3 linked regions of the Drosophila melanogaster genome follow. The protein of the gene in region 3 interacts with the protein of the main gene of each other region in a pairwise test. Each region holds a gene or a part of one and is shown on either strand. Other genes may lie near its edges.

What was found.
Region 1: the proteins of Ote (region 3) and Lam interact in a two-hybrid assay, tested with the Drosophila melanogaster proteins (2 studies listed by BioGRID).
Region 2: the proteins of Ote (region 3) and Med come close enough for resonance energy transfer, tested with the Drosophila melanogaster proteins (one study listed by BioGRID).

Annotation. Positions count from the first base shown.
Region 1 is NT_033779.5:5,539,441-5,547,142, reverse strand, and holds Lam (lamin), read right to left. Parts: upstream 4,664-7,702; 5' UTR 4,483-4,663; intron 4,365-4,482; exon of another isoform or gene 3,819-4,364; 5' UTR 3,812-3,818; coding exon 3,349-3,811; intron 3,106-3,348; coding exon 2,402-3,105; intron 2,337-2,401; coding exon 1,635-2,336; 3' UTR 501-1,634; downstream 1-500. Other genes in the region: Hel25E (helicase at 25E), read left to right, coding at 5,222-5,420, 5,487-5,710, 5,807-5,990, 6,053-6,171, 6,843-6,974, 7,034-7,436, 7,499-7,512. UniProt on the Drosophila melanogaster protein: Lamins are components of the nuclear lamina, a fibrous layer on the nucleoplasmic side of the inner nuclear membrane, which is thought to provide a framework for the nuclear envelope and may also interact with chromatin.
Region 2 is NT_033777.3:31,608,212-31,615,875, reverse strand, and holds Med (medea), read right to left. Parts: upstream 4,831-7,664; 5' UTR 4,196-4,830; coding exon 4,132-4,195; intron 3,898-4,131; coding exon 3,629-3,897; intron 3,566-3,628; exon of another isoform or gene 3,543-3,565; coding exon 3,188-3,542; intron 2,990-3,187; coding exon 2,768-2,989; intron 2,617-2,767; coding exon 2,002-2,616; intron 1,942-2,001; coding exon 1,659-1,941; intron 1,598-1,658; coding exon 1,429-1,597; intron 1,373-1,428; coding exon 1,246-1,372; intron 1,187-1,245; coding exon 975-1,186; 3' UTR 501-974; downstream 1-500. Other genes in the region: Mnat9 (microtubule-associated Nat9), read left to right, coding at 1-475.
Region 3 is NT_033778.4:18,274,239-18,280,529, reverse strand, and holds Ote (otefin), read left to right. Parts: upstream 1-3,352; 5' UTR 3,353-3,450; coding exon 3,451-4,725; 3' UTR 4,726-4,923; downstream 4,924-6,291. Other genes in the region: sbb (scribbler), read left to right, coding at 1-284, 354-427; pen-2 (presenilin enhancer), read right to left, coding at 2,461-2,600, 2,675-2,779, 2,849-2,909. UniProt on the Drosophila melanogaster protein: Inner nuclear membrane protein. Involved in the attachment of membrane vesicles to chromatin during nuclear assembly, and is probably required for centrosome maturation and cell cycle progression during mitosis.

The DNA.
Region 1 (7,702 bases), on a different chromosome or scaffold from region 3:
GGGTTAAACGGTCACTGCATTTGCCAGTTGAACGAACTTTAACCGCATCTCTCGCGTTGAGTGCGTTTCGTTTGAGTGGATTTTGCTCTCTTCTCTATCGACAGGGTTGACACCTAACATTTTTAAAAGAAACAATCATGGTCGGAAGAAGAAGAGAAATTATATTTATAAATGCGAAAGCACGTTGGTTTTGAAACGTCCTGCACTCAAAAATAATCGATAAGTCACTCAAAAATAAAGTTTATGAGCGAACACACGCATTGAAAAAGCATGTAGGCAACTAATACAGACGCAGAAAAATTAAAATTCCAAAAATAACTCATGGCGACGAATAGAAACGCAAAGCGAGTGACGAAAAAAGGGCCACCAGGCGTCGAAAGTGAAATGCGTACCCTACTATTACGAAATTCGTAGGAGCTTATTGGTTTCAGTATACGCTTTAAAACTATTTAATACTTTTTTATGTCTTTCTCTCTATTGCTAAATCAAAGTTTGTTTTTAATTTTTATTAAACATGGTTTCTTTATTTTTTAATTATCAAATTATTAGCAATTACATACATAAACGTAGATGTACTTAAAATTTAGTTGTATTCATCAGTTTTTGTATAATAGTCTGTGTGGGCGTTGCATTTGTTTGGCCGGCGTAAAACGCGACCACGCCCACCCATAAAAAATGCGACGGATCGCTGAGCCGCTACGTGTACTTCCATTTTCTTTCGTTTTTCTTCTTTGTTGCTTTTGTAATTGTTGTACATTTGTGTTGTTGCTGTTAATGCTGTTGTTGTTGTTGCTGTTCTTATTGTTGCTCGTCCGGTAAAATGTCTGCAGGAAGCTCAAGAACCGGTCTAAACCGGGAGAAAGCCGTTTTGGTGGATCGTAAACCCTATGGCCATGGCTAAAAATATATATTGCTGGCTGGTTGTCACTTCCGTAGGCATGAGTCTATATATATAATGTATGTATGTATATGTATGTATAATGTATAATGTATTTTATGTTGATTGTACAAAAAATACTTAAATAAATATGTCTGTTGTCAGGAGCGTTTGTTTTCTTTAGTTAATCCTCTTGACCTGTATCTTATAAATCACTCACTACGTGCTCGTTGTTTTTTTTTTGTTGTTGTTTGCTGACGTCGACTGGTTTATCTGGGATATAGCTTAAAAACTAATTTACTAAATATGTAGGTGGAGCGTAAGTACATCGAAAATATTGTTTTTCTTGCAATATTTTCAAAGTTCTTGCCGCCGCGAATACAAGAAGTGAACGTCTTACGTAAATTCTATGTGGCATAAAAAAGAGGCAACATGCCTCTCCAGTTTATACCAAATAAAGTTTACAATAGATTAGTTAACGCGGAAATACAAAAACATCGAAACAATAAACTATAGAATTTGTTAAGAAAGGGAAAACGAAAGTGTACAAACGAAACGAAGATTCAGGATGTCTTCTACACAAATGTTTTTGATTAAATAATTGGCGCTGCGGCCACAAAAAATAACTTAGCTGAATAATAAATCTCTGTACCTCGGTGTGTGTGTTTTTGGGTTCTAAATTATGATCTTCGTGTGTGCTTATTTTGTTTGTCTTGTTCAGCAAAGAGGAAAGAGTTGTGTTGTGCTGCGTTTGATTTTACATAATGGCGCACTTCTCGTTTGACTGCTGAGGATCGCCCTGCTGGTGGTAGAGCTGCTCATTGCCGTCCACGGCGGTCACGCTGCGACGACGACTCAGCCGGGAGGAGGATGTGTGTTGGGACACAATGCGCTTGATGCGATCCAGATTGGCCACGGCCTCGCCCTCGGAGTTCAGCAAAATCGTCCTAGTGTTGTCGGCGGAGACCCACTTCTGTGACTTCATCACAAGGCTCGATGGCGGCTCGTGCGAGGCCTTGGTGTCCGCCGACCAAACGGTGATCACGCCATTTGGCTCGATCCTCACCGATCGATGGAACTTGTAAGTGGTCGAAGGACCTTTCTCGTTGATTAGCCGCTGCAGCTGCCAGCCACCGATGGCCACCTCCTCGCTGCCCTTGTTGAACAGCCTTACGAACTTGCCCTCGGGATCGATCTCCTTGATCTCCACGTTGCCCTTGGCACTGGCGGACACATAGTAATCGGCGACGCTGTGATCCTCCGACTCGTCGACCACGGCGCGTTTGCGCTTCACGGCAGCAGAGGGAGTGCGACGCGATGGCGTGGCTCGCGTGGAGTTGCGCAGCGACTGGCTAAAGGACTGCACTGTGGCCGTGTTGGTGGCTGGGGTGATGTTCAAACGAGCCTCCTCGCCCACCAGCAGCTTGTCGTATGCGGCGATTTCCAAATCCAGGGAGACCTAAGCAGGATAATTAGATTTATGTATTAATACGTACACGATTTTAGACAAGTATTAAAGCTAACCTTGATGTCCATAAGGTCCTGGTACTCCTTGAGCTGTTGCGTCATCTCTTCGCGCAGCCGAATGAGCTCCTTCTCGAGAAGGTCTATCTCTTGACCGTGGCGTTCGCGATCGTTGTCCAGCTGGCGCTCCAGATCACGGATCCGCGCATTGAGGTCGGCATTGGCTTGCTCCAGTTCGTTGATATTGGCGTTGAGCGCATCGATACGCACACGAGTGGAGCGCAGCTCCTCGATGGACTTGTGCGTGGAATTGGATGTGCGTGCGGCGGCCTCTTGCAGTCGTTGGATCTTGTCCTCGTAGAGGGACTGGATTTCATCGCGATTAATCTGCATCTGCTCCTCGTACTGGGCGCGCAGCTCCTGCAGCGACTGCTTCAACTTGGCATCGTACTCGGAGCTGAGGCGACCGTCGATCTCGCTATACTCTGTCTGTTTGATGCGGCGCGACTCATTGATCTCCTGCGAATGGATCTGATCCTTGAACGAGAGCTCCTCGCGCAGACTCTGAATGGTGTTCTCCAGGTCAACGCGCGACAGTGTCTCCTGTTCCAGGTTCTTCCGCGTTTCCTCGAACTGCTTACGCAGTCTCTCCAGCTCCTTTAGCGCCTCATTCAGGTCTTCGTTAAGCTTCTTCCGATCGGCGTTGGCCTGGTTGTATTTGTTGTTCAGCTCGTTGGCGCGCGACTCGTACATGCGGACATTGCCTGCGGGTTGGGATAATCAATCAATTAATGTTCGTTAAATGCCAGAATAGGGATGATTTTGTCACAGAAAGTGAGGAATATCATGGGATAATCATTATATACAGTTCAGCAACTAAATGAATGTTTCGTTCTTGCTTGAAACCACGCCTTTTGTCTCTTCTTACTTTTAATTTTATCATTACTCTACTTTCTTTGCCCTACAATTATAAGGTTTTCTTATCGATTCAGTTTCCACGCACTTACCCTCAGCAGTGGTGCACTCCTTGGTCTTCTTGTCCAGCTTGTTCTTGAGCTCCTCGTTCTCCTCCCAGAGACGCTTGATATCGATCTCGGCACGAGCGCGATCCCTAGCTGTGTCATCGAGCAGACGGCGCGTCTCCAGCAGCTCGGCCTCGAAGATGTTCTTGATGTTGGTGGTCTCGCGTGTGACCGTGTCCCTGGTGGTCTGCACCTCGATGGTGAGGCGGGAGTTCTCCGTCTCCAGGTTGCGCACCCGGTCAATGTAGGTGGCCAGGCGATCGTTCAGGTTCTGCAGCTCCACCTTCTCGGCCACGCGCGAGTGCCGGGTGGGGCTGAGGGGGCTGGAGGCCGTCTGCGAGTGAGTGGACGGCGGCGGCGGCTGCGGACCCGCCGATGGCGGCCGGGGGGTGGAGGTGTTGCCGGGCTGCGGCGTGGCGGTGCCAGCACGTCGGGATTTGCTCGACATGTTCACGCTGCAAGACAAATGAAATGTGCAGAATAACACGTGAGATTTTTGTGACTGACCTCTTTAGGACACAACACTTGAAGAAAAGTTGAATAACACAATTGCGTGCCTTCTAAACGCGTTTTATATGCAATACTTATATTTGAACTTTTTCGTTCGGTGTAGGGTATGTTATTTTTGCGCCCTGATAAAATTCCAAACAGAACCGAACACGAAAGAGGGGAAACGCACAAAACGCTCAAAAACAGAAGCTAAACGAGTTTCTCTAACGCGCTCTCTCTCTCTCTCGCAGTCTCCTCTACGTCTCACTCACACACACGCACATCGCTTTCCACTCAAGCGACTGTACTAAAGCGGACGAGGAAAACGAAGTGAGTTTGTCGGCGTTTGTTTATGGGCGTGGAGGCAAATGGCGCGGCTAATACTAGTTTAATCAATCGCAACGCTTAGCTAATCCAGTCGACGCACTTTAAACGATTTGATAAGGAGCCAAAAATTGCACAATATGGCGATTTTAATTCAATATTTACAGCGACTTTACACTAATACAGGCAGGGGGGTTATTTCGATTTTGAGTGAAACAGTGCCGCCTCTATTGTTCGGCACTTAATCAGTTATTTCAACTTTTTCTACAAGTTTTCCTAATGCTCGTAGATAGCAGCGCAACTCACCTGACTTTTTATAACGAACGGAAAATGCACAAATTTGAAAATGAAGTATCTTGCAGCAGGAAAACGCGGCCGACGCTGGAACGTGTAATCGAATTTGTTGCGATGGTTTCAGAGACTAATCGATAACTTTCCGGCATGCCTGGTGTGACCAAACGCCGCGCTAGATAAAAGACTAAGAACCGCTTGACCCCAAAATGATAAAAAAAAAATTAAATTTAAGCTCAACAAGCCATTTTAATTTAAAGCGTTAGAAGGCATATATTTTATAAAAACTTTTTAGTTGAAGCTTACAAATGGATTTGTTGTGCACAACTATCGATAACTTAACGATATCACCCGGCTCAGCTCGCATGAGTTCTTAAACGTACTTCGGTCACACTGCTCTGCGCTGTTTTTTCCTCCGCATCACGTTAAAGATTTTAAAATAGTTAATTTCACTTTAAAAGCTGTATTTTAAAGTGATAAACGTGCACAAAAGGTGAGTTTGACACTGAAAATCACACTGCACTAAATAAAATCGTCGCTTGTAATGGGTATTTCGTTTTATTTCGAAATACATGTAATGCGGTGCGGTGAAAAAACAAAATGGCGGAGGGAACGCCGGCACCGGTTCCGCAAAAAAAAGCGGCATTTTCTTTAACAAACACATGTAACTTATCTAGTCGCACCCATTTTATTTCCCAGCATTTAGTTGCGAATTTATAGCCGATAACTAGTTAAAGGTAAGAAAGCCGCAGAAATGGCCGACAATGACGATCTTTTGGACTACGAGGATGAGGAGCAGACCGAGACCACTGCGGTCGAAAACCAGGAGGCCCCCAAGAAGGATGTCAAGGGCACCTATGTGTCCATTCACAGTTCCGGCTTCCGCGATTTCCTCCTGAAACCGGAGATCCTGCGCGCCATCGTGGACTGCGGCTTCGAGCATCCCTCGGAGGGTGAGTACTTGCACTCCACCTGGAGTGACGAAAGGTACAGTCACTAACGATGCTCTCCGCTTGCAGTTCAGCACGAGTGCATTCCGCAGGCCGTACTGGGCATGGACATCCTCTGTCAGGCCAAGTCCGGCATGGGTAAGACCGCCGTCTTCGTTCTGGCCACGCTGCAGCAGCTGGAGCCGTCGGACAACAACACCTGCCACGTCCTGGTCATGTGCCACACCCGCGAGCTGGCCTTCCAGATCAGCAAGGAGTATGAGCGATTCTCCAAGTACATGCCCACAGTCAAGGTGAGTCTACGTTTTAATCCATTGTATATAATTCAACAAAAAGTTTGGTTCGACTATATAGTTACTATATATTAATTCGATATGTTTTCTATTTAGGTGGCTGTCTTCTTTGGCGGAATGGCTATTCAAAAGGACGAGGAGACCCTCAAGAGCGGCACCCCGCATATTGTGGTGGGCACCCCTGGCCGAATTCTCGCCCTCATTCGCAACAAGAAACTTAATCTGAAGCTTTTGAAGCACTTTGTGCTCGACGAGTGCGACAAGATGCTGGAGCAGCTGGGTAAGTTGACTAATAATCACCAAATGACGGACGTTTTACTAATAACCAAACCATTCTTTTAGATATGCGTCGTGACGTTCAAGAGATTTTCCGTAGCACGCCGCACGGCAAACAAGTGATGATGTTCTCTGCCACATTGAGCAAGGACATTCGTCCCGTTTGCAAAAAGTTCATGCAAGATGTAAATATCAACGTGTTCATAACCAAAATGCTCGTACTTCTCCACCTCGCATCCACCGCTATCACGACAATTAGTTATTATTTTGTTAATGCCACGCGATATCGAACATTCGATCTTGATCCCCTCCGTATAAGCCAACCACCATCTTGCAAATGGTTAAACGCGTACAACCAAACGTCCAGCGCTCTGTGAGCATAACTCGTATCGAAAAACTTAGTTAATGACTATCGGACACCATTTTCTAAATGGTTAATCGTGGAAATTGGCAACCGTTGCAAAAGCATAAACAAGCAGTAACCGCTGAATGAATCAATTGAAATCGCAAAAGATTTAACAATACCAACGCTAGCAAAAACCAATACCTAAATAAAACTACAAGCAAACAGCAAAGATCCCGCCGACTGGCCGATGAGACGAGTTGAATCAATCCAGAGCGAATGCGATGCGATAGGCCCGCTCATCTGTAATCCGCACACTTCTCAGAGCGATCATCGATCCTCGGGAGCAGTTCAGAGACTAGTTGATGAGATGTGGTGGTAGCGTGGCCGTATGTAGAATATTCTATGCATATTGTTGTATGTTCCGAGGCGAGCCTAGTCTAAGTTCGATTTCTCTGTACCCCTCCTAATTGTGTCCTTTAAAATGCGCCACATTCTATTTCCCAAATCCAGCCCATGGAGGTCTACGTCGACGATGAGGCCAAGCTGACGCTGCACGGACTGCAGCAGCACTACGTCAATCTGAAGGAGAACGAGAAGAACAAGAAACTGTTCGAACTGCTCGACGTGCTCGAGTTCAATCAGGTAGGTCATTCGGTGGTCTTAACTTATATTTACCACTTACTTGATTATCCCTGTCATAGGTGGTCATCTTTGTGAAGTCTGTGCAACGTTGCGTGGCTCTGTCGCAGCTGCTGACGGAGCAGAACTTCCCCGCCATCGGCATCCATCGTGGGATGACCCAGGAGGAGCGTCTGAATCGCTACCAGCAGTTCAAGGACTTCCAGAAGCGCATTCTGGTGGCCACCAATCTCTTTGGCCGCGGCATGGACATCGAGCGTGTGAACATCGTGTTCAACTACGACATGCCCGAGGATTCCGACACCTACTTGCATCGCGTGGCCCGTGCCGGTCGCTTCGGCACCAAGGGACTGGCAATCACATTCGTTTCGGACGAGAACGACGCCAAGATACTTAACGAAGTACAGGATCGTTTCGATGTGAACATCAGTGAGCTGCCCGAGGAAATCGATCTCTCTACATACAGTAAGTTGCAATGATGAGTAATCCCCAGCCACCAGCAGTGCTAACTTGATTTTCTTTTCCAGTTGAGGGACGCTAGAGCTCGAAGGTGCATGTTAATCGGAACAAGACTATGCACTTCGAATAGATACAAACCTAAAACCTTTTTTAAAACTCTACTTTATAACTAAATAAAAACTATTCAGACAATGTGTTGACAAACAAAAACGGAATTATAAGTAATGTATTTATTTTGGGAATGGATTCTAAAACCCACTTGTTTCACATTT
Region 2 (7,664 bases), on a different chromosome or scaffold from region 3:
GGAACTGACCTTAGAAGAGGAGCACGAGATGCAAAGGAGTTGGAGGGAGGACAGCGACAAGCTGACCTTCATTGTCCTGGATGCAGAGACTTATTCGCGTGATCAGGATGAGATTGCCGCCATGGTGGGCGACACCAATCTCTTCCTGCACCAAGATCCCGATAGCCAGATACCAACGGCGGAGGCGGAAATCATGATTGCCGAACCTTATGCACGGGGCAAGGGATTCGGCAGGGAAGCCATGCTCCTCATGCTCAAGTACGCCCAATCGCAGCCCCAGCTTAAATTGGATAAATTCGAGGTCAAGATCGACATGGACAACGCTGCATCGCTGCATTTGTTTAAGAGTTTTATGTTCGTGGAGACGCGTCGAGTGGAGATCTTCCACGAGGTCACCCTGGAGCGACCTATCACTCCAGATTGGATCAACTGGCTGGACCAGCAGGTGGATCTGCGTATGCAGTGCTATCAGTGAAAAGAAGCCTTTAGAATCGTAATTTCACGGTCTGTTTATTACACTTATGTTACATCTACTTGTTTCGCTTGCCTTATTTATGCTGCATTTTACATCAAATGAATGTATTTATGGGTGCATCGATGTCTCTTTTTGTTTCGCCCTGTGGCTTGGATGATTGTAATGCTGTGTATGCTTCTCGTTTTTTTTTTTTTTAATTTGTAATTTTCGTGGCAGGAAATGGACAACAAACATTGGCCGCTTGTTCAGTATCTCCGGTGTTGTGTGGGCGTATATTTAAGTATAGTACATAAAACTAGATGCTTAGTGCTTTACAGCTGCATACTTAAGACTTCTAAGTTGTTTCAATTTTTTATAAAAATTATTATCAAATAATCAAAGGCAAACATAATCGTAATCAGAATTGCAAATGAAAAACACAAAATCCGCAAATAGCTGACGGATAGCTGCCGCTAAAACTGAGTCCTTAGCATAGATGTGGGCCAATAATAAATACGGATTAGGCGGCGGCACGCGGGCCATCGATCGGCATGGCGTGCAGCACTTCGTCCAGCAGCTGCAGGGCGCGATGCAGGTGCACCTCGATCCAGCAGGGCGTTTCTTTGATGGACTGGCGTGGGTAGTCAGGTCCCCAGCCCTTGACGAAGCTCAGGCGCAGGATGCATAACCGGCGCAGATCGTCCACGCCAATTCCAGCCGCTGCTGTCATGCCTGGAATACCGCATCAACACATTAGTTTTCCCTAAATCAAACTGATTCCATCTACTTACTCCTTCCGCCGCCGCCCATTTGCTGATTGGCCACTCCGGCCACGGCTGCCGCCTGAGCAGCGGCCGCTGCCTGCGCATTGGTCGCCAGCGAGTGCATCTGCTGGTGGCACTGGCGCAGGTCAAACACCTGCATGAGAAAATGTATGTTAAGCTATCACATTAAACTCTCTTGATTGCACCAACCTTTATGCACGCGGCCGGATAAATCTTGTGCACAGCATCGCCAGGTGTGCGTCCTGCCTCGCGATCCAGATAATAGCTTTGTACGAAAACTGAATTGTCACTAAGACAGCGCAGCCAGACGTCGCCCTCCCCACGCAGATCCAATTGCACGCCCTTGCCGATGTGGAGCCTGCATGGAACTTGGTAATTAATCCCTGCTCTGCAAGTTACTCCCAGGGGGATGTACTCACCTGGCCCGTTCCGATTGTTCAGTGCGATGAACATTGCTCAAGGCGCCCAGACAGAATCGATTGCCTCCAGAGGGATCCACATAGCCGTCGATGATTACGTTCGGTTTCGCTGACGGCACCTTGAAGGTCTCGCCCACTTGCGTGTCCAACTCGAAGTATGCGATGGAGCACCAGTATTCCGGCGGCGGTTGGCGAGACAGGAGGCGTGGTTGCTGCTGTTGTTGTTGCTGCTGCGGAGGCGTCTGTTGCGGGGAGCCGAGGTCACCCGAAAGCGACGAATTCCCTGGAAAATGAAGGACAGGGATTACAAAGTCGCACAGTGGGCTACATAGCCTAGACTTACAGAAGCCCCCGGGTAGAGAGCGCGGATCTGGTGGTTGCATAGACTGCGTGTAGGTGAGGGTGTTGGGCCCTGTCCAGGTGCCAGCCGCACCGCCTCCGGCGCCAGCCTGAGCCCCAGCAGACCCAGTATTGGCCTGCACACCGGTCGGTGGCTGCTGCGGCTGCTGTGGTGTGGGTTGGGCTGTGCCAAAGACGCCACCACCTCCAACGGGAGCACTGCCCGCGGATCCTGGCTGCGACACGTAGCCGTTTTGCTGGGCGTGGACGGACGGGGCCACCGAGGTGCCACCCCCACCGGCACCTTGCATCTGACTAACAGGAGGTGGCTGTCCATAGTACTGCCCTCCAGCTGCTGCTCCACCGCCGGCATTAACTGATCCATTGGGCACACCGCCTGATTGCTGCTGTTGCTGCTGCTGCTGTTGTTGTTGCTGCTGCTGCTGCTGCTGCTGTTGTTGCATGGCCAGTGCGGAGGCGGGATCTGTGGGCGAATTGGCCTGGGTATGGTGCACCCCATTGCCCTGGGGATTCTGAGCCTGCTGCGGCGGGGGTGGGGGTGCCATCACGGGACCGGGATTCATTGGACCAGGCATGCCCGGCATACCGTGAGGCACAGCTGAAAGTTGATTTTGGGAAAAGATTAATGTGTATTCAACTAATTGTTAATAAGACAAATATTATAATAGTTTAAAATCCAACATATGAGAAAAATTGTAATTAAAATTCGATTTTCGAAGCTTCAACTATAATCAAGGCCATATCCTTACGGAGTGAGTGAGCAGCTGCCTGCGATTGTGCCTGCTGCTGCTGTGTAGGTTGCGGGGTTTGCTGCTGCGGCTGCTGCTGTTGTTGCTGCGGGGGCTGACCCAGCCGGGGGGGAGGCGGTACCATCCAAGAGCCACGCGACCCAGCAACTCCATCCTGGGGCTCGATTTTTGGTATTGTGCGCCCGGTGGGAAACATTGCACTCATGGGATTGGCATCGCCAACTACGCAAAGTCAACATAAAATCGCCAAAAGGAAACAAATATAAATAAATTATTAAAACCAAAGAAATAAACGAATGTAAACAATTAAGTAAAATGAACAATTCAGTTTAAAATTATAAATAATATAGAAAAATTATCAAGAAATCCAGTATCGAAAACTCAAACTATATCGAATTAATGTCAATACTGTAGTCTTACCATATTCAGAGGGACCCTGTGGATATCCGTAGCCGCCGGGCCCCACCATTTGCGTGGGATGGTGCTGTATGGTGCCGATGTCGTTGCCATCGATGTCCATGCTGCCCACCAGCGGACCCGCTGAGTATTCGTCCTTCACCAGGCGACTGGGGCCCGACTGCAGACTCAGGCCGGACAGATCGATGCCCGGAGAGACGACGCGCTCGTAGTGGTAGGGATTCACGCACACCGAGTCGCACTTGAGATCGAAGGCGAAGGCGCAGTACTTGACGTGCTTCAGCTCGTTCTTGTGCAGGTCAGGCCAGCGCCAAATCCGGGCGTATATGACGTGCGGAAAACCCTTGCGTCCAGCAACCTTCGATAGAGAATGGTAAAGTGGTAAGTTCATTGCTTATACACATTATCAAATTCGATGCAGAAAGTCTGAGAGACTCAACCTACCTGCAAGCGACCATCGAGGGTGCGCTGTATGGTCACGCACTTGCTGGGATGGGCTCCGTTCGTGGTGATGGCCGTGATCAAGGAGTCCAGTTCGTCGCGCTTCTCCTTGAGCTTTTTGACCAGCGACTCGATGGCTCGCTTGGCAAATCCCTCGCTTTCGCCGCCCTGCCGATGGCACATCAGCGAGTGGACGATGCTCAGACAGGCGTCCGCCGATGTGGGGGCGTTCGAGGGCGGCGGCGGCATTTGCACCATGTCCCGGACAATTACTGCAGATGGTGGGGGTAATTAGCTCTGAGTTTTTTTAGTAGATCAACGGATACTGTACAGCTCAATCCAATTTCATTTTAAATTTCAAAGAGTTTCAAGTTTATCAACAGTAAATAATAATGCTACGGTAAGATTTAGGATTGTCCACAATACTTGGCCACAAATCGATTTTAGAATAACAACTCGAAAAGGAGTTCACTATGACTGCTGCTCCTCTAGAGAACTTCACTTACTGTCCTGCGGGGCTACGGCGCCGTACATGTGGGCGGGCGGACACGCCCCCGAGCCGCCGCCCATGCCAAAGTCCTGGGCGAGCGAGCCCAGAGTGCGAGCATGGGCATCCACGGCGGCGTTGTTGCTGGATCCGGATCCGGAATGGGGATCGTGAGCGGCGGAGAGCGGAGTGGGGATCGTACGGTGGCTGGAGCAGGCGTAATCGAAGCCGGCGGCGGGCAAAAACAAGGCGTAGAATCACTGGCCAAAGAAAAGCCAAACAAAGGCGGCACGCGAATGTGAGCACAAAACAAACGGCGGCTGGATGGCTTTGTGTGAGTGGGCTTGGGGGGTGTTGCACACACGCATACACACACACACGCGCGCGCTGAACTAACTCGACTTGAACTCCCACAAAGTTGGCGTAATTTCCCTGCGAAAACTCTCCTCTCCTTCGTCTTCTCCACCTCCTTCTTTACGCACACTGGCACACGCACTGCACACACACACGCCCAGCGAGAAGTTTCCTGCTCAAATCCTTGGTAGAGACTGGCTTTTACTGTTTTTCGTGGAATTTCATAGTTTGCACTTAATTGGCTGCTTGGGAAACTCGAAAGTACAATTTTCCGCCCGACGAAATCCAGTTTTCCAGCCAATTTGCCTTTTTTTCCTTTTTTATTTTGTTGCGGCTGTGCAGAGTGACCGTTTCGCGATACAACATGGGCGGGCGTTGCCAGATGGGCAAAGCGCGAAATACCTACCTTGGATTTTTACAAACACCTAGTTTGGTCAGTTCTCGAAGATTTGATTTGAGAATAAGTTTATATTTTTTGGAAATAAGAAGCAAGAAAAGCAGATACTGATCAAAACGCAGAGGCATCCGGGTAAGTGCCATGAGATTTGTTACACCGACTTACACTCATTTCGCGGGCTGTTCAGTGCGTAAAACGAACTTTTTGAAAGGCCGAAAATCAATCGCCACGCGTTTTTTCCCATTCGCATGTGTGTGTGTGTGTGACGAAATTGAGGAAAGTTTCTTATCGTTGAGATTGGGGAAAATCGAAGGCTGAACATCTTGTGCAACAAGTTAATTGATGTTTTCGCATTCCCATTGAAAAGTTTCTTTCCATTGCTTTAATTGCTAAAATTCATTCATAAAAAATTGCCGTTGATGAGTCGTTTGTGTGACAGGTTGTTTCTAGAAATATGCATGTGTGTGTAGTGGGGCCTGAAATAGACCACCCCCTTCCCCTCTTCTCTTGAAAATGTTCACTTGGCAACAGTAACGAATTTCCTTTTCGCCGGAAATGCATTTCTCCGGCTTTTGTAAAACAGTTTGCTGCGTAGTTTCCATCTTCAAAATATCTTATCAAAATGCGTAATTTCAACGCTTATCTGAACGGAATTTCGATTTGCGGCGTACATATGTAAATATGTTTATATTTTGGCAATGACATTGATTGTGAAATTATGTGTGGGAAGTTTGCGATTCCCTGCCAAAACAGAAGCTTCCATTTGTAATAGTAATTTGGGAACTCAATTTAACTTCGAGGATTTGTTGCCCTCATATTTTTTAATTCCCTAACTAATTAAATCACTTGTCATAAAATTGTCTACATCCCGCATTCAGAAGCATAAAGTTATTATTTAATCCCTATCAGGCTTACGGTGTTGAAAATTGTTCGACACCAAAAAGAATTATTGCGGGCTTATTTGAGTTCGGTGTTCAAAATTGTTCGACATCAAAAAAGAATTATTGCGGGCTTATTAGGGTTCGATAACATTACAGCGAAATGTTAGTTAACAGAGAGAATCGAATAACATACACATCGATAGTGAGGGACTATCGCTTCCGCTGGCTTAGGGTATTTTATAGTACAAATTTCAGTTCGCACCAAATCTGTGGAACTTGTAGGCCTACTGGTAACACTGGTCGCTCACAATATTCTTCATTCGTAAAAAAACAACAAAGCGGAGAAGTACCGTTTTTGCGAGCGCGAGTGTTTGAATGTGTTTGTTTGCTTAGGAATAGAAAATAGAAATTGAAAAGGACCAAGTGCAAACGTACAAAGCTTTGCTAAAGCAGAACTAAAAAAAATCAGCAGGAGGAAAATGCACAGCTGATGGAGAAAAGTCCCAAGCACCTTCAGCCCAGTGTGTGTGGGAAAAATCGATCCGCAGACGGGAAAAATTGAGGATAAAATGCCAGCCTAATAAACAGAGTTCCAATTGTGATACAAACGCAGTACAAATTAGTTAACAACTAGCTTAAATGGCCAACGACAAGGTTTTATAGCTAACTATCTGACGCAATTGAATAAGCGTAAAGCTGCCAGCCAATTTATTCACTTATTTTCGAGTGCAATAGAAGCAAAAATTCACAACTAAACAAAGTTCATCTCAACATTCCTGCGCAACACAAAACAACAAAATGGCTGTAAAAACGTAAGAAAATGCTAAATTTATTTAAGAGTGGAAAAGTCGATAAAATGCAAAAAGAGAATCAAGGTTTTTTTCTTCATCTATCAGATGATTTTGTTTGTAGGAAAAAAGAAATTATATTAGGCATACATACAAAATTCGTTCATTTACGTGTTTGTTTCGCTTCCATTTGTTTCACAGCTGTTTGTCTGGTGTTTGTGTGTGTAAGCGAGAGAGTGGATTTGGGGTCCGCTATTCGTAGGTCGTTGCTTACAGAGTGAGCGAGAGGGTCGAACGAGGGGTGGGCGAGGAACTATGCTGCTTGCAGTGGTATGTGTGTTTGAGGGGCTGTGCTTTTTATGCAAGCTGTACAACATACATATGTAATGAGACTAATGTACGCCTTTGTTTCCTTGGCACCGCCTTATTCGCCTAGAAAACCCATTCCTATTGCCTTCCCCCATTTGCATATCTGTTTTATTTCCAATTTGCGTCAATTGTTTTACTTCATATTCCCCTTTTCCTTTGTTGTTCTCCCCACAATTTGTGTGTTCCGCTTCCAAAGTTCCCTTGCCATCGTACACACACGCGAGCTGCAAACAAAGACTTTGTATGTGTGTATGTTGTTCCCATTCGGATTTTTACCTCATACACACACTCACACCAGCACAGCAACTTGATTGGTTTGGGAGTGTGCGTGCTCTGGCTTGGAATTGCGTCAGCCAAAAATAAAATATGTGCGACGGATAAAACTACTTGTTTTCGTTTCAAAAACACTTTTGCTCATTTTAGGAAGCAACTTGTTTCTGGAAAACACAAGTAACAACTGCTATTACATTCCGTTTTGTACCCCGTTTCTCCTGATTTCACCTTCAGCGCATTTACTTTGTTTTCTGGGTCATATTTGTTGATTTCAATTTGTTGCGCAGTCGCAAAGTCGCGCAGAATTGCTTAATTTGTTGATTTTCATATTTTCCATAGCCTCCAAAATAATATAAATACAACGCATAAAACGACCCCACGCACGCATACTAATGAAACAGTTGGGTTGGTGTGGGTGTGTGGGTGTTGCTGTACCGTTGTTTTATTTATTCCTCTCCACACTTGTTTACATGTAAAAAGGTCTCTTCTA
Region 3 (6,291 bases):
CGGCAGCAAGCCGGATCTGTCCGGCCCGAAAGGACATGGCGGAGTGACGCCCGGCTCGTCATTGGACGGCCACAAGCAGTCGATGCCCGGAGGTCCGCCACCGAACGGGCCATCGGGCAATGGAGCCGTTGGCGGTGTGGGAGGCGCTGCCGGCAATGGCGCAGCGGGAGGCGGCGGTGCAGGTGCCGCCGACTCACGCAGCCCACCACCGCAGCGCCATGTGCACACCCACCACCACACGCACGTCGGCCTCGGCTATCCCATGTACCCGGCGCCGTATGGAGGTGAGTCCCCAACTGTGCTATTCAGTTCGGAAAGTTGAATGCTAATCATTTAAATGTTTACTCCCATAGCGGCTGTTTTGGCTAGCCAGCAGGCGGCTGCTGTAGCTGTGATAAACCCGTTTCCGCCGGGTCCGTCGAAATGAGATCCACTGAACGGTAACAACGAGAAGAAGGCGTATAACGTAAAGAACAACTAGTGTGGAGCGGAAAGTCATGGTGCCCGCCCCATAGTGCATTTGCTATTTTCTGAGATCCCCAGACAGACAGATAGAATGGGAGAAGGATAAGGCTTTGTTCCCCGTTGGATTCCAACTTCTTCCCGTCGAAACCTGTCACAGTCTTGGCTGCCTCAACGAGTCCTTTCGATGCTGATGCATCGGCGGTCGAGGAACCGAGAGGAACACAGAATCGACTATTTATATGCATAAGTATTTTTTGATGTTTCGTTCGATGTGGTTAACTATAACTAGCCTAAGGTATCACTACTATTACCACATACAACCTATACATATATAAATATATATAGCATAACTACATATAGCGACTTTTTCCTAAGTGTATTTGCATCTGCATATAGATATCTATATTTATATTTATATCATACGAGAGAGGCGTAATCCGAACATGAACAAACACAACCAACAAACAGATTACATGAAACATGCAAAAAATGAAAGGGAAAAAAACGAATCAAACTCGATACTGTAGTGTGTTGATTTCTTTGTAAAAAAAAATAAAAACTAAACGTACGAGAAATGAAATTAAGAAAAGATCGAAATGTATGAATATTGTTTAACTAAATGATTAAATTATGCAAGTAGAACGTACAAGATTAGCATTTAGCGTGTGTATTAATTATCCTTATCTGTGTTGCGGATGGAGCTGCGCGGGATTTGCATCTAAAAGACAAATTGGGCGCGCCGCCCATTCAATTCTTATAAATATAAATATATATTATGTGTATCTAAATCTATATCTGTGTGTGTACTACTCGTATCCGTAGTTTCTACTTTATAAGTTCTCCGTGAATGACTACGATGAATTTTTCGGCCAGCAGCCGCACATTAATTTTAATTGTTTCTAAGCATCAATTTGTACTTTAAATATTTATACGCATATGCTGCATATATGATATGATAACGATGGCGAGATATATATGTAATTAAAGGATTATCTATGTGAATGTGGGTGTGTAGTAATTCACTAGCCGCTTCATAGACTCTACACGCGTGATTTATGGCACTTAATGTTCTGTAGCCTAAGCCCAAAAAAAAAGAAAAACTGAATGAGAAAGCTCCCATCTGGCCCTCAAAAATCCCGCTTCCTATCCCAAATACACATTGATTCTTTAGAATTTATAAATAAAACAAGTATTGATTGTAAATATACCTTAAAGCGAGTCTTTTGTATTGTAAATTAGTTCCACTGATTGATTTGGTGGCCCTGCTTAGGTGCTTTGCCACCAAGTTCGTGTTATAAACATTAATACATAATATTGTAATTTACTATATGTGTTGGCAGCATTTGCTGTTAACCGCAAACGAAATGCAAGCGATTTACCGAATAATAGCAATTTGAATTATGTCTTCATGTGTAGATCGGCGAGTGTTTTCCTTACACTCATTTAGGAGTCGCTAGGTTTTTTGACATTCTTAATGCAATTTGTAATCAAATCGTAGGAGGCATTCGACTCACGGATACAAACACACAACATAACAAAACAATTAAATGGGATTTAACAAATTACCATAATGGCTTATGCAACGGTACAAGCAGAGTTTTATACAAATTATGTATTTTAGAGATGGATAAAGCGCATTGAATTGAATTCGAAACAATGAAATTGTATCTAAGCAAAGAATGTAATCCACAAAATGGCTAACTAAAGCTAAATCAAGCATTCAAATATGGGCGGACGAATATGAACAAAACACATAACTAGCGGCTAAGAAATTTCAACAAAATATAGTACACATATTTAAAGTATACAGAAAATTATAAAAAACAAAAACAGCTTTAGATGTGAATAAAAAATATGTAATTAAATCAAAACAGCACTTCTTTTGTTTGGGTCATATACGGGAACTTCTGATGGATTAATAATAAACGTTAATTTTGTTTAGGAATGAAGTCTTTTTTAATATCATTAGTTGCTAACGAATTAATCTAGTTATGTCTATGCACTGCCTAGGGGTATGATGAAGCTCATATAGTCCGCTGTGGCGCCCCAGGCTGTGCGATTTGTCTGGAATATTATTATCCAGGCAGTTAGTACTATCAGCCAGAATAGAGTCCCCACTGCAGAGTATATAACATCTGGAGGAAGGTAGGAAAGAAATTGTGGAATATTAGACTGTATGGCATGGGCATCTATTCATATATTGACTTACATCTCTTTATTTGGCTCTGCTCCGAAAATGGTGGCTTATGGAAGGCCTCCGTGAAAAACCAGCAAACGTTAATGGCCCACACAAAGGGCAGAAATGCAAAGCCAGCTAAGTTCGAGACAAATAGAAAGTAACTTGGTTAAAATCCAATCATTACTCATTGGTAGTAACTCTTACCAAAGAAGTATTTGCGACACAGCTCCAGTTTTCGCGGATTTGGTGCCTTTGAGATGTCCATGATTAATCCTCTTCAAATATGTGGGTGTTTGCTCCTTTGTTTTCGAATCTGTTTCCGGCCCAGGAAAGTTTTTTCGTACTTATATGTAAATTGTATGTAATATGTAAATTGTAATAGCTTATATTTTCACTTCAATTTTTGCTTTTGTTGATTTGTGTTTTAGTTTTTAGTCCATTGGAGCGCAATCGATATCGATAAGTTATCGAAACAGAGGTGAGCTAAACTGCGACTCTTGGATCACTGTTTCATTTGCCAATATCTAACGTAAATAACGATATAATAATATAGCATAGATGTTTTATTACGTTTGCACGATTTTGCGATGTGTGCGATGATTAGTATGAAACATCATTCCTTGTGTTCCCTTTTTTTAAAACGCCAAAACTGTTACAAGTCAAGCCCACTTCAGTGTTGTATATCCCCTAAAACAGAATCATCGATAGGTAATACTGCTGCCATCACTATTTTAGCACACACCGCGTAAAAGCGACGCCGATTTCAATTTTCAACGAATTATTAAAAGTGTGCGAAAAACCATACAATGGCCGATGTGGACGATTTTGATTCTCTGTCCAATGCTGAGTTGCGCGCCAAGATGCTGGCACAGGGGCTGCCCAACATCCCCGTGACGGATAGCAGCCGGAAGGTTCTAGTAAAGCGTCTGCGCGCCTCCATTGGTGGCCAGGCGTCGCCGGCCGCTAGTCCCAAGAAGACCAACAGGCGGGAGACCCTGGCTCCCGCACCTGGTGCACCATCTGCTCCGGCGGCAGCCTCCACGCCGGTGGACAAGCTGGATGGCAACAAGGTGGCGCCCGCCACAAAGGCTCGGCGCACAATTACCGCTGCAGAGGCCAAGGAACCAGTGCGTCGATTACCCGAGGAAGCTATACGCCGACGCCCCGACGAAGCCGACCGCCTACGATCCGAGGAGCCCGTTGCCGCCAGGAAGCCAACAACTGCTCCTGCTGCTCAACCCGTACAGACCCGGCGCACTTCCACCTCCTCGGGGTCTGAAAGGAAAGTAGTGGAGCCCTTGAGGAAGCCAGAAACCATTGTTGAGCAACCGGCTTCCTCGAAGCGCGCTGATCGAGAGGAGAATTATCTTAAGGTCAACTCCCTGATTGTCCTAGAGTCCGATGAAGAAGAGGACGAGCAGCTAGTCCAGGCTGCAGATCTGGTGGAGCAGGAGCACGCGGCCAGACAGAAGACCACGAAGCTCGCAAGCAGCGGCACCACTACGTACGAGTACAAAAGCAAGGTTGTGGAGCCTCCACGCCGACAGGTCTATGAAGCGACAGCAGCTCCCGTGCTGCCGCCATCTGTGCCATCTGCCAGAGCGCAGACCACCAGTTCCACCAGGTCCTATGACTATGCGAGCAACCCAGCACCCGGTCGCTATAGCAGTTTTGTGCGTACTGCAGCCCAAGGCTATGTGACTGCAGAGGCTCCGCCGGTGGCCTCCTACTCATCCAGCTACAAGCGTACCTATGCTAACGAGCTGAGCGACGACACTGATTCCAAGGAAGACCAGTACGAAAGCACATTTGCCAGGAATCTAGCTCGTTTGCGAGCCGAACGGATTGGAGATCGCATCAGCCCGTATTCCAGACGCACTCTGGCCAGTGGAAACGCGGGTAGCGGTTCTCTCGGCTATGAGCCGCGTGCCAGGCGCTCCTTGCGCCCGAATGATAACAGCGTATCCGAGGCCTTTAACCGTTGGTTGAACAGCCTGGAGCAGAAGTATCACATCAAGTCGAAGCTGTTCATTGTACTCCTCGTCCTTTTGTTAATCGGCGTTTATTACATATTCTACTGACCGGCGCATCATTGTTCTTATTTCGAATTTGTAATCTAGTTTGTATACCATGTTGGATATGTTTTGTAAACAAGACTGCCGCCGCGGTCTTTGTATGAATCTTGTTTTGATGTAACTTGAGCTTGAGTTTGACTAGCATTTAAGCTGCGTGTTATCCGTGTTCAAATAAAGCCCACTTGCAGGGAATCTCCACAGTTGAACACTTGCTCTGATGTTTTTTCTCCAAACGGCTTTCGATTCACTGCGCTCCACTTGTGGCAGGTGTTTGCCCAGATTGGATCAAGAAACAGCAGCAAACGACGATCGGCTAATGATGGAAAAGTATCTGGAATGCGTGTACAACACTTGTCGGCATGACTCTGACCAAATGTAGGCGCAATGGCAACCAGGCAAGCGCAGCTCTTATCTGAGCTAAATTGTTCCTGCTGCGATCTGATCTGCGATCCTTGCAATGCCTTGCAATCAGAATTAATAAGAATTTTACAAGTCGGCTCGGCGGCCGGTGTGCGTTATTTTAAAATCCTTGCCCGAGTTGGGCTGTTTAATTTTATTAACTGGAAATCGCACTTGCGCGTATTTCTTTATTTTCTTAAGGAAATTTCGCGCCATATTTAGCGGTAACAAGCGCGACCGGATCCGGGTCTGACTTGCATGCCAGCAATAAGTTATGAAAATTGCAACATCAGTGGCTCGGGGGAAATGCCAGTTGTGCTGGGGATGTTGCTGCCACGGCTGCCACGGCCGCCACGACCGCCAGTCGCCGCCGATGATGAATTCCACAAATGCATGGAACAGCCAGGCGGCAGATTCCTTGAAAAACAAAGCCATGGCCCATACAATATATCGTGTGGCTAATAAATACGCCGCGCATTGCTAGTTGCTCTTAATGAAATTAACTTCCAGGAATTACCTACATGGCAGCAACGATGCAGACGACAACCACGATCACTTTGACGACTGTCCCGAAGTGCAACAAAGCAACTGCAACAGTCGCAGCAACAGTCGCAGCAATTCGAAAAGGCAACAATGGCTGCTTAGGCAAATGCAACAAGCCATCGGCCATGGAAATTAAATGGAAGCCTGCAAAAAGTTTCACGCACTCGACACGTTAATAGAGTCGTAGCACCCAGAGCAACATCAGGTCCACCAGCTGCAGCAGCAGCAGCAGCAAAACCACCAGCACCAACACCCAACACCAGAACCCCGCAGGAACATCAGCGCCCAAGAGCAACACACCCGCGTCCCAGCAGCTTCCCATCTTCGGTTGCCGCCGCTCAAGTGTGACATTCATGGAATATGATTTTATGGCCAAAACCGAAACTTTTGTCTGCATCACGTTCGCGGCTGGAGGGAAAACAAGGAGTGGGCTAGTAAAACAGCCGGATGGTGGACTATGAAGGTGGCGGTGGTGACTCGACTGCCTGGCTGCTGGGCCAATGACTTCCTCGTTGTGAGCCAATTAAAGACGCTGGTCGTTGTGGTCGCTGCTGAAATCATTTGTAATGCAACGTTTGGAATAATTCACGCGCAAATTGCTTGCGACTCGCGAAAAATATTGCAACATTC